Linked DNA regions of Arabidopsis thaliana. The protein of the gene in region 1 interacts with the protein of each later gene in a pairwise test. Each region holds a gene or a part of one and is shown on either strand. Other genes may lie near its edges.

Region 1 (3,757 bases):
CAATTTAATTAATATTCCTCAAAAAAAAATCAATTTATAATTAATATAAGATTATCCACGAACTTTCATCATTCTTAATTTCCTAGCATATTGATAACTCGTCGTACCTAGAAAAAGTCAAATGTTATACAATGATATGAACTGAAAAATCACATTAAGTTATAATTGGTATTTTTCATTGATTGAAGCATTAATATCGTGTGTGTGCTACTAGCAGAATTAGGGGGTAAAACAGAATTTCGTTAAGAAAATGCATTAATTAAAAAATAAGAAAGATATATATATATATACATATATATATATAAGAGTAGATTATAAATGAAAAAATAATTAAGGATTAAAAATAATGATAATAATAATATGTATAAGATGGGTAACCTAACTTTACTTGGACGGTCGACAAAAAAAAAAAAAAACTTTACTTGGACGAGTATAGCCGACAAATTCATTATTGGGAAGTGCCAAAACAAATAACAAAGCTGAGACCAAACCTAATGAAACGTTACACATAAACTTTCTTAATCCATTACTCCAAAGATTTTAGGTTATTGTTGACGAATCGTATTCACCCATATCATTTTTTTAGTTTCTACCCACTTTTATTGTACTTCTCCTTTGTGTGTTCTCTTGATAATTCTAATGTTACGTCAGGTAACCAAACAAAAAGTGATTTAAAAGGTGAGCACCCATTTTTTACAACTGTTTCGACCACATATTGCAATTTGAATAAAAATCGGGTAAAATAAACCTAACTACGGACTTAAGACTTTTGATTATATCTAGCGATATAGCTTGACCGAGTCTTAATTTGTGATGTAATGACTGCTCAAAATATAATAGTTTGAATTCCGGCTTTTAACACCATGCATGGTATAAATCAGTAACATTTGTTATCATGGTATAGTGACATTTATATATATAGTTGTTCTTATTTTAGTATTTTACCCTAATATATAAATATATTCGTACACTTTAGTTTCAAAATGATTTTACTTCCTTTTTTCTCTTATATGTTTTATTGGTACATCAGTTTATCTTGAAAGAGAAAGCGCGATATGATATATTATAAAACTCTAGGAAATACTTTGTAATCTATATAGATAACTGTGAGTTAAAGCTCGAGACTAATTATGGATGTAACGAGTTATTGGTACGGATGAATCACCTTGTTTAAAAAATTTCGAAAATAAAGTATATGCCTAAGCCTAACTCTTTCCAAAAAGTACTAAATTAATTGGTGAATGACATCAAGAGAACCAAACCTAAACAAGATGGTGGGGATCACTATCCATATGTATACGAAGAAAAAAAATAACTAAAATATATAATACATAATTAAATAAATGAATAAAACATCAAGGGCCAATGTGTTTCTATGATAAGGAAAAGGAGGCTGAAAATTAGTGGGTAAAAGTAAAACTGTCTTGTGGTCCGTTATTTAAAGGCACCTCTTAATCACTTTCTAATTACTATTCATACTAATTTCGTCTCTTTTTTTTTTTTTTGTCTACAATAACGTACGCTTCATGATAAAAATATTCATGATATAAAAATCTAAAATACCGATGCCGACTGAACCCAATGATACCAGAAAAAGAATGGAGAAAGCTTTAAATATAATATTTAATTTATATTCATGATACGATAATTCCATCTTCTACCAAATATAAAATCATTGAACTTTTTCGGGAACTTTTCTCTTATTAGTGGGAAGAATAGTAGCAAGTGCCAAGTGAGATGCTCATTTGGTCAACCTTTGCAAGTAAGAAAAATAAAAGTAGAGAGAATTGTGCCATCATAATTTCCCACATTATTTTTTTTTTCTTTCAGGAAAAGAATTACCAAGAAAATAAAATCATTTCTTTAAAATAATATAAATCATTCCTTTGATTAATAACTATTAGCCATCCACCCACCCATCAATTTCTTAAAAATATAAAATAAAAAAAATACTTTTCTTCTCCTTCTTAAGAAGCCCCATTGGCTTCATCTCCTCCCATTATCTTCTAAACTCATTTCCTTTTCCTCTCGAAATCTCAAAGATAGATAAATTTTAAAGGCATATTTTTTTCATTTCGACTCAGATGGGTTTTGATGATACATGCAACACAGGTCTTGTTCTTGGATTAGGTCCCTCACCAATTCCAAATAATTACAATAGTACCATCAGACAATCCTCCGTTTACAAGCTCGAGCCGTCGTTGACTCTATGCCTCTCGGGCGATCCCTCGGTTACCGTGGTGACCGGAGCTGACCAGCTATGCCGTCAGACGTCATCTCACAGCGGAGTCTCTTCTTTCTCAAGCGGGAGGGTGGTGAAAAGAGAGAGAGACGGTGGCGAAGAGTCGCCGGAGGAGGAAGAGATGACGGAGAGAGTTATAAGTGATTACCATGAAGATGAAGAAGGTATTAGTGCTAGAAAAAAACTTAGGCTTACGAAACAACAATCTGCTCTTCTTGAGGAAAGCTTCAAGGATCATAGCACCCTTAATCCCGTAACTACATATCCTTAATCCTAATTCTTTTTTATTATACGTTACTAATCACTTTTGATAATTCTTATCCAATCAGATTCTTTGTTGTTATATTTTATTTACAGAAACAAAAGCAAGTTCTGGCTAGACAGCTGAATCTAAGGCCTAGACAAGTTGAAGTATGGTTTCAAAATAGAAGAGCCAGGTAAAAAAAATTATATTATAAATTATCAGAATATTTGATTTTTTCATGTGTCAAAATTTCTTTAATAGTCAGAAAATTTTGTAGGTGAAAATATTTTCTATTTTTTAGGTGATATGATTTTTCTTTCGGTTATATATATTTAATTATTTATTTTATTTAATGAATGAGCAGGACAAAGCTGAAGCAAACAGAAGTAGATTGTGAGTTTTTGAAGAAGTGTTGTGAAACATTAGCAGATGAGAACATAAGACTTCAGAAAGAGATTCAAGAACTCAAAACCCTAAAATTGACTCAGCCCTTTTACATGCACATGCCTGCATCGACTCTAACGAAGTGTCCTTCTTGTGAGAGAATCGGCGGCGGCGGCGGGGGTAATGGAGGAGGAGGTGGCGGCAGCGGGGCTACCGCGGTGATTGTAGATGGAAGTACGGCCAAAGGAGCTTTCTCTATCTCCTCAAAGCCTCACTTCTTCAACCCTTTTACTAACCCATCTGCAGCTTGTTGAATAGTAGTAATTCGTTTAATTTTATTACTTAAAATATTAATTTTCTTTTTTTTTTGGGTGGCATTTTAACTAGTAGGAAGAACACAAAAACTATGTTAGAAAGGGTAAGATGCGTATAGATGGTCTCTTCTACAATTCCCACTTTGTTTTTCAGTGGGATTGCTGGTTTGAGAAAAAGAATAGTTTGTAATTATTATTTTATTTGTAGAAAAAGGTAAAATAGTCTTCACTTTAATTTATACATCTTATTTTCTCACCTTCAATTTTAGTCAAGTAAATCATGTTTGTAATAAATGAAAAACTATTTAACAATATAATTATACATGGGAATTTTTCATGCATACTAATGATCAGCCGATGATTACTTTCATCATTTTGTGTTTAGATCTTAAGGGGCTGTATTGTTCATAAAAAAATAAAAAGATAAAATATATAACGTATAATATCATATTTAAATGGGACTCAATGGATGTGGTGGTGATAAGCTACAAGAATACTAAATTACAAATCTCAATCTAAAAGTTAAAACTTTATACGCTAAAATACGACATCTATGTAATATAATGGTAGGTC
Region 2 (3,757 bases), on another chromosome or scaffold:
TTAAATATTTTTTCATTGTGAATCAGATCATTAACACCTATTTCTTGTTTCTCCTATGATCAATCCAAAGATTATGTTGTAGTCTTGTAGGACCATTGCCTCAGAACTCTCAAATATCCAGAGAACTCAAACCATTGAACTCGTGACCATCGTGTGGCTCGAGATGAAGCGGATGCAAATCATAACTACCAGAATTTACGTGGTTTTGGTCTTGGCTCTGATGGGGACCAGGTTCATTCAAATCTCCAAGGAGTTCATTAATATCAAAGCACTCATTAGGATCCCAAGAAGTCTGATCATTTACAATATCATTAGACCAAGGCCAACCGTAATCTGCAACAGTAAGCAAATCCGGTTGCAGCTGTTGCTGTTGCTGTTCCTGTTGCTGTTGCTGTATCTCCTCTTCTTCCTGCTTCGGTTTCTCTTTCTCCTGCAAAACTTGGCCCCAATACTGCTGCTCAAACTCTAACAGCAAATCGTAATTCAGCGAAGAATTCATATCTTGATGTCCAACCGTGCAACTGTCCGGCCTGGTTCCACAAGACTCTTCTCTAACATCTAAAATCTGACTAAATGGATTAGATTCACAATCAGTATCTTCATGCTTCACACAAACATCACCACAAACAACCGCCTTATTTTCAACCGTACACACCTCAGATTGACTAGACGTACTAGTAAACTCAGACCCAACAGACTGAGGGAAGTTAAGACGAGCCAATGAACCGTACATAGCGGTAGCCGCTTCATCATAAGCGGAAGCAGCTTTTTCCGCGGTAGGAAAAGTACCAAGCCAAAGTCTAGTTCCTATTTTCGGTTCTCGAATCTCTGCAACCCATTTACCCCAAATCCTTTGTCTAACTCCTCTAAAACTACAGTGAGAATTATCTGGTCCTCCTTTACCCTTCATACAACCTTTCTTCGACCCTTTCGCAGGAACTTTGCGTTTCGGTTTCTCTCCTTCTTTAACAGCCGAAGCTTCAACAATCTCGTTGTACTCTTTCCACTTCTTTAGCCTATCAGCCACCGTTAAACCACCTGCTCGAGCCCTAGATTTCCTTTTCTTCGGCTGCTCGGTTCCGGTTTGTTCATATACAGCCATCTTCTTCTTTATAGTCGCAATCTAAGAATCTACAAGATAGGAAAAAAAAAGGTTTTGAATCAGTCTCTTCCTCTCAATTTCAGAAAACAGAAATTATCGAGTCACGGAATTTATAGTTATAAAGAGGAACAGAAACAACTTGGGCACCAAGGGTGTTTTACTTGCTCACCAAGTTTTACTTTATTAATAGAAAAGCAAAAATCGCATTAGAATTTCCAATTTTTTAACCCGAGTCTTAGATTAAAGAAACCGTGTAAAAAAAAATAAACGCTAAATTAGAAAATTTCCCAAATTTCTCTCAAAAACAGCGAAACCTAAAAGGATGACATTTTGAACAAATCAATGAACACGAAAACATCTAAAACCCAAAATTCATCAAACCCAAAACCCTCTTCGAGACTAATTCAGCGAAAAATCGACAAACCCAGAAAAGATTAATTGGAAATCAAACATACCTATCGTGAATGATAACTCCAGGATTAGAGTCGAATCTCTTCTTTATTTAGGCAAAAATCTCTTCTTTATCACGCAGATGTTGTTTGTTGTTCGTGTTAAGTCGATCAAAAGCAAATCTTCTTCGCAAGCTTTCGCGTTCTTTCTAGCGTCTCTTTTTTCTTTTCTTTTTGTAAAGACAACAAACTTTTTACAGAAATCAGATATTATCAAGAGGTCGAAAGGGTATTTATAACTTTGTCTAGATATTTCTGATATTTTAATGAGAGTAGTAGTGACATGGCACTTATTAATTCGAATTGTGGATCATAACATTCCCCAGTGACGACACGTGTTGAAATTTTCACCACACAAAAACACGCTCTCAATACGGGTAAGCAATGGGAATCCTTACTATAGTTGATAAACACATACAGAAACATATTTAATACAATATGTACATGTTAAGACTCAAGAATCACAAAACCATACTAATATTTTAAGAAATAAATATTTAAATAATGAAACTTAATTATTAAGAAAGTCTCATTTTAAAGATTATAGTCAATATTTGAACAATAATCTGATATTTTGAGGAAAACAAATTAACAGTATGTTATGAATAATTTATAACCAAAAAAGTAGATTTATAATCTATAATATTTATTTTCTAGTATGGCAGTATATTAAATTGAATAATATACATCCAAAATTCCAAAAAATAAGTAATCAAACAAACACAAAGCAACATCACAACCATGATTATCACCATCACCCACAAACTTTTCTTCTGAATTCATTTCATTCTAAGAGAGAATATACGAAGCACATCAAACAGTGTTTTATCCTGAAAGCATAAAATCAGAGAAACACACAAATAATTAACGAGATTCTAGTTCAGTTATAGGTTTTTTGAACTCCAAAGCTCGCATTAATTAATTTACAATTAGTCTCTTCTACTAAGTACAATAACTCTAAGTCTCTAACAGTAATCATCAAACACAAAGCAAATGTCCACGCATTATCAATGAGACAAAATCAAACTCGTCATCACGGTCTTCAATTATCGGTCGGCCTAAACCCCCATAATTTGGAAATCGAAGCTCGCGAATTTGCTAAGGTTTCATGCGGACTACAGAACGTTACATGTTGACGACGGTATGAAGAGAAATTGCGGCGAGACACAACCGATCTTACGTTATCTGTTCTTTCTTTTCAAAAAGGGGAATACTTATACTCTTCTGAGTTCGGTGGAATGTGATCAAATGGGCCTGCGTTTTATTTTTATCCTCCTATGTTGTTGGGCCTTAGCCCGAGTTTGTTTTTCAGACTGATGCACAAAATTGATAATATCCATCTCTGAACTAATAATATCAGACTTATAGACATAGTAACAAGTCGTCCAATTTGGTTGGGAAAACAACTTTTCGAAGTTTCCTGTACGTAATTAAAGTAAAGACAAAATGTGTGGAAATGGACTATTCAACATGAAGACTCTTTTAAGTCTTTTCGTTTCAACGTGAAGAACACTTGGTAGAAAGACTGGTTATATAATGTGAGTCAAGCTGTGTTGGATTTATCTTTGTGGAGTAGAATCTATTACTATGTCTATAAAGAGATGGGCACGAAACCATCTTATTTACTACCACAAACTCCACTTTCTTTTATCAATATTCAAGAAAATTCGACTAGCTAGCTAGCGTAAATTAAGGAGGATGAAAGGCTCTTGGGTGGTCTCAACGAGTATCATTCGTATTACTCTTTCTTTTACTTTCTTATTCATTTGTCATTTTTCGGACGTGCTTGCGGCTCCTACTAGGCACTTGTGTCGTCCCGAACAAAAGGATGCACTTCTCAAGTTCAAAAACGAGTTTGAGATTGGGAAGCCTTCTCCTACTTGTAAGATGGTTGGCATTGAATCTCATCGGAAGACGGAGTCATGGGGGAATAACAGCGACTGTTGTAATTGGGAGGGAGTCACGTGCAATGCCAAGTCCGGGGAAGTGATCGAGCTCAACCTTAGCTGCAGCTCCCTCCATGGCCGGTTTCATTCCAACAGCAGTATTCGAAACCTTCATTTCCTAACCACTCTAGACCGTTCACATAATGATTTTGAAGGTCAAATCACGTCTTCAATTGAAAATCTGTCTCATCTCACCTCTCTCGACCTTTCTTATAATCGTTTTTCGGGTCAGATTCTGAATTCAATCGGAAACCTTTCTC
Region 3 (3,757 bases), on another chromosome or scaffold:
AGTTCACACTTTCTGAACGTTGAGATGTCGACATGCCTGCCAGAAACACATCGCTCATAAATGTGGGCACCCACTTTTGGCGATGTTCATGCAACCATAGCAGCCATTCATCATTCTCAAGTCCAAACTGGCTGACCATTTTCCACCACCTCATATCAAACTCATCATCTGTCCAAGATCTGAAAATGCATTTGTTGAATTTCAGTAAGAAATTCTCGTGCCGTTTCATCACATGTGAGAAATATTCAGGAATCTTTTCTAAAACATGCCATAACGCAAAGCAATGACGAGTGTTTGGTAGGAGCTCTGAAACAGCAGACATCAAGAATTTATCTTGGTCAGTGAGTATAACTTTAGGAGCTCGACCACCCATTGCTCGTAGCCATGTTTTTATCAGCCACACAAAAGTCTCCATAGACTCATCAGCAACCAATGCACAGCCTAGTAACATAGGTTGGGAGTGATGGTTCACCCCAATAAATAAAGCTAGTGGCAACTTATCGTTAAACTTGACATAAGTAGTATCAAAGGATACAACATCATTGAAACTCAAATAGTCATCTCTGCTCTTGGCATCAGCCCAAAACAGATTTCTTAAACGTTGGTCCTCGTTCAGGTCTATAGCATAAAAGAATTTAGGGTTTTCTTTCTTGATACGCTTGAAGTACTCAAGCAGTACTTGAGAATCTCCTTCTTCCAAAGCTAGATACCTACCCTTATCAACCTGACTGCTGACATCGGTCTGAAGAAGAGACCCGATATTCTTATATCCGCCAGATTGTCTCGACATTTCAACATACATTTTTTTGGTCCGTTCACTAACCGCATGCAGAATGTCGATATTATTCTTCTCAGCTAACTTGACATTCCTCTGAATCCGGAAATGATAAGCAAGGGCAGGTAAAAGTTCGTGATTGTGATCCTTTACAAACTCATGAATGATCCATTTCCCATCTGGTCTTCTCTTCACATGCATACTAGCCTTGCAATCTGTTTTTTTCACAGTTGACCTTCGACTACTACTACCACTACTCTCAGACTCAGGAGTCACACCATATCTGGAACAAGCAAACTTAGCATCAATGAAGTCTTTAGTTTTCTTGGAACGTCTACTGTTTTTAATCGACGTAGTAAAACCCATAGATTTTGCATATTCCTGATAAAAGATATACGCTGCCTCATGGGTATCAAAGTCTATACCATTTCGTGGCTCAAGATCCAGATCACCACTAAATCCAACATCTCCACCTATATTGAACTCATCAACAATTCCTATATCTCTGTTACTATGCGGTTCAACTACAATGTCAACCATATGGTCATCCCCTGCATCACTAACCAGATTCTCTTGCAAATCCATCCTAACCTTAGCCACATATGGATTCACTAACACACTCAAAAGCAACTACCCCACTATGGGCTTCCATGAAATTGGAAACTGAAATCTTTCTACTAGATAATCCACCTTAGCACCTGAAAAATGTCACAACCAAACTTCATAAGAACCAGCGCGACATCTTCTACCTAAAAACATCAAACTTGAAACACACAAAGCAATATGAAATCAATGGAATCAAATGAAAGTGAAGAACTTTCAACAACATAACTTCTAATAGTAGAAAAGTTCTGTTTCTAAAGCCAAAAAAGAGTAAAATTTCACACAAATAAGAGAAGGAGACCTGAGAACTCAAACTAAGAGAGTCAGAGACAACATACTTCTAGTAGTAGAAAAGTTCTGGTTCTAAAATTTCAGTGAAAGAACTGAACTTTCATTAGTATCAGCATAAAAGACAGAGACTTTAATGTATCTTAAGAGAAAACCTGAGAATTCAAATGAAGAGACTACAAAATTCAGGAAATGTCAAACTTTTGGATTGGTGAGGGCTTTTTACTGTATTTTCTCGGCCACCCAGAGAGAGACAAAGGGAGGGAAGGCAAAATTCTGACGTGAAAAGAGCAAAGCAAAGAAGAACACGAAGCAGGCGAGTGGGGAAGCAAAAGCGAGTGAGGAACCAAGGAGCGTGAGAGGAGAAAATCTAGGGTTCTTTTTGGGAATTTTTAGGGATCTTGGATTATGTTTTTATTTTTATTTTTTTCATTTGTTGTAAATCTCTTACTAGCCTTTACTAATTAAACATAAAGGCTTTTTGATTGGTAACACGTGTAATGACATAATGACGTTTGTTTTCGACGCGATTTTTTTTCATAATCGCGTCTATATTTACGTTTGGCGTGTGAGAAGCATTGCTGATTTATGTATTCTTAGAAAAATTGATTATTTTAAAAGCATCAGCATTGTGATTTTTTACCAAAATCTCTCGCCTACATTAATAATAATAAAATAATAAACAATATTTTTTTAATTAAAACAATTTCTAAGAAAATATGAGAAAGTTTTTAATTTAAAAGATTTGAAAAAACTATTTTAAAAAACTCTTCAAATTAAATATTTTTTTTATTATTATTACTTTAGTAAATTAAAAACTTTGGTTAGAAACCACCACTACACATGTTCTAAAAGATTTTAATTTTAACTGTATGATAATCTTCTTTTCATACAGTTTACTATAATTTTTCCACATTTTTCAAAAGAGTTATGTAGTAAACTAAATTTATCATAACTTTTAATATGATTTTTACATCTATTTTTATGATTTTTACATAACTATTAATATCTACAGTTTTTTTTTTATTATAAGTTCAAATAAAACAAAAAATACAAGAATATTAAAATAAATAACATTAAATCTATTTTTGTACATATGAGATACATGCTTATTCTTATTATGACAAATCAAGTATACTTTTTTTTTTAATCTTTACCGTCATTTTTTCTATATATATGTGGGTATCTCATATTCTATATGTAATATGCTAATCAATTACATGATGTTGATGGCTTTCACATCAAAACAGAGCTGACATTTGCCACCAAATATAAATAAAACTGTAGGGCAAATTGTACGAGAGTTGTGCTCTGAGTCACTTGCTTTTAGATTTAGTTATGGAGTTACAAATGCAGGGTTTGCATCTTATCTTTTAATATTTTTTTTCTTTTCTACTCACATATCTTTTTTTTTATGTGGAGTGGAAGATAATTGTTTTTAATTCATTTAATATTTTTTGATTTAATTCCTTTTTAAACAGCAAAATCTTTTAATATTTGATTTAATTTGGCTAAATTCTTCTAAAAATCTGAAATTTAGACATTAAATAACTTTCTAATATATATATATTTAAGTATTACTGAGAACTTTTTAATATTATATAAAAATTATATTATTTAATTAATACTTTAAGCTACCATATTATCATTAATAATGGTTATATAATTTAAAAATAATTAAAATTTGCTACGGAAAAAAAGAAAATATCAAAGAGGTGAAATAGACACGTAAGCTAAAAATCCAGCGTTGGTACTAATAGTAACCAGTAACCACTTTCATTTGTCCGTCTCGCTCTTTTAGCCTGTCAACGCTTTTCTATTTTGTCTTTTTTCTTTCTTCTAAAAATTCTCTCTTTTATTCCTTCTTCCATTTCTCTCTCTCTTCTTCCTTCTCCAGTTACTTTGGTCTCCGCCATGGCTACACAGTAAGCTTTTTCTTCGCTATTCGACTCTAAATTTGCTAACTTTGAATTCGCTTAGGTCATCTCTAATTTCACATTCGTTATTTTTCTTTTATTTTCAATTTAATATATTACAGGAGTTTACTTTCCTCTTTCGTCACTTGACTATGACTGACCTACCATAGTTAGT

The links.
Region 2: the proteins of HAT9 (region 1) and DREB2B interact in a two-hybrid assay, tested with the Arabidopsis thaliana proteins (one large-scale study listed by BioGRID).
Region 3: the proteins of HAT9 (region 1) and FAR1 interact in a two-hybrid assay, tested with the Arabidopsis thaliana proteins (one large-scale study listed by BioGRID).

What each region holds. Positions count from the first base shown.
Region 1 is NC_003071.7:9,704,376-9,708,132, reverse strand, and holds HAT9 (Homeobox-leucine zipper protein family), read left to right. Parts: upstream 1-1,915; 5' UTR 1,916-2,084; coding exon 2,085-2,495; intron 2,496-2,599; coding exon 2,600-2,679; intron 2,680-2,850; coding exon 2,851-3,184; 3' UTR 3,185-3,501; downstream 3,502-3,757. UniProt on the Arabidopsis thaliana protein: Probable transcription factor.
Region 2 is NC_003074.8:3,453,354-3,457,110, reverse strand, and holds the start of DREB2B (DRE/CRT-binding protein 2B), read right to left. Parts: upstream 1,757-3,757; 5' UTR 1,558-1,756; intron 1,132-1,557; 5' UTR 1,103-1,131; coding exon 110-1,102; 3' UTR 1-109. Other genes in the region: RLP34 (receptor like protein 34), read left to right, coding at 3,250-3,757. UniProt on the Arabidopsis thaliana protein: Transcriptional activator that binds specifically to the DNA sequence 5'-[AG]CCGAC-3'. Binding to the C-repeat/DRE element mediates high salinity- and dehydration-inducible transcription.
Region 3 is NC_003075.7:8,612,409-8,616,165, reverse strand, and holds the start of FAR1 (FRS (FAR1 Related Sequences) transcription factor family), read right to left. Parts: upstream 2,107-3,757; 5' UTR 1,893-2,106; exon of another isoform or gene 1,474-1,892; 5' UTR 1,361-1,473; coding exon 1-1,360. UniProt on the Arabidopsis thaliana protein: Transcription activator that recognizes and binds to the DNA consensus sequence 5'-CACGCGC-3'. Activates the expression of FHY1 and FHL involved in light responses. Positive regulator of chlorophyll biosynthesis via the activation of HEMB1 gene expression.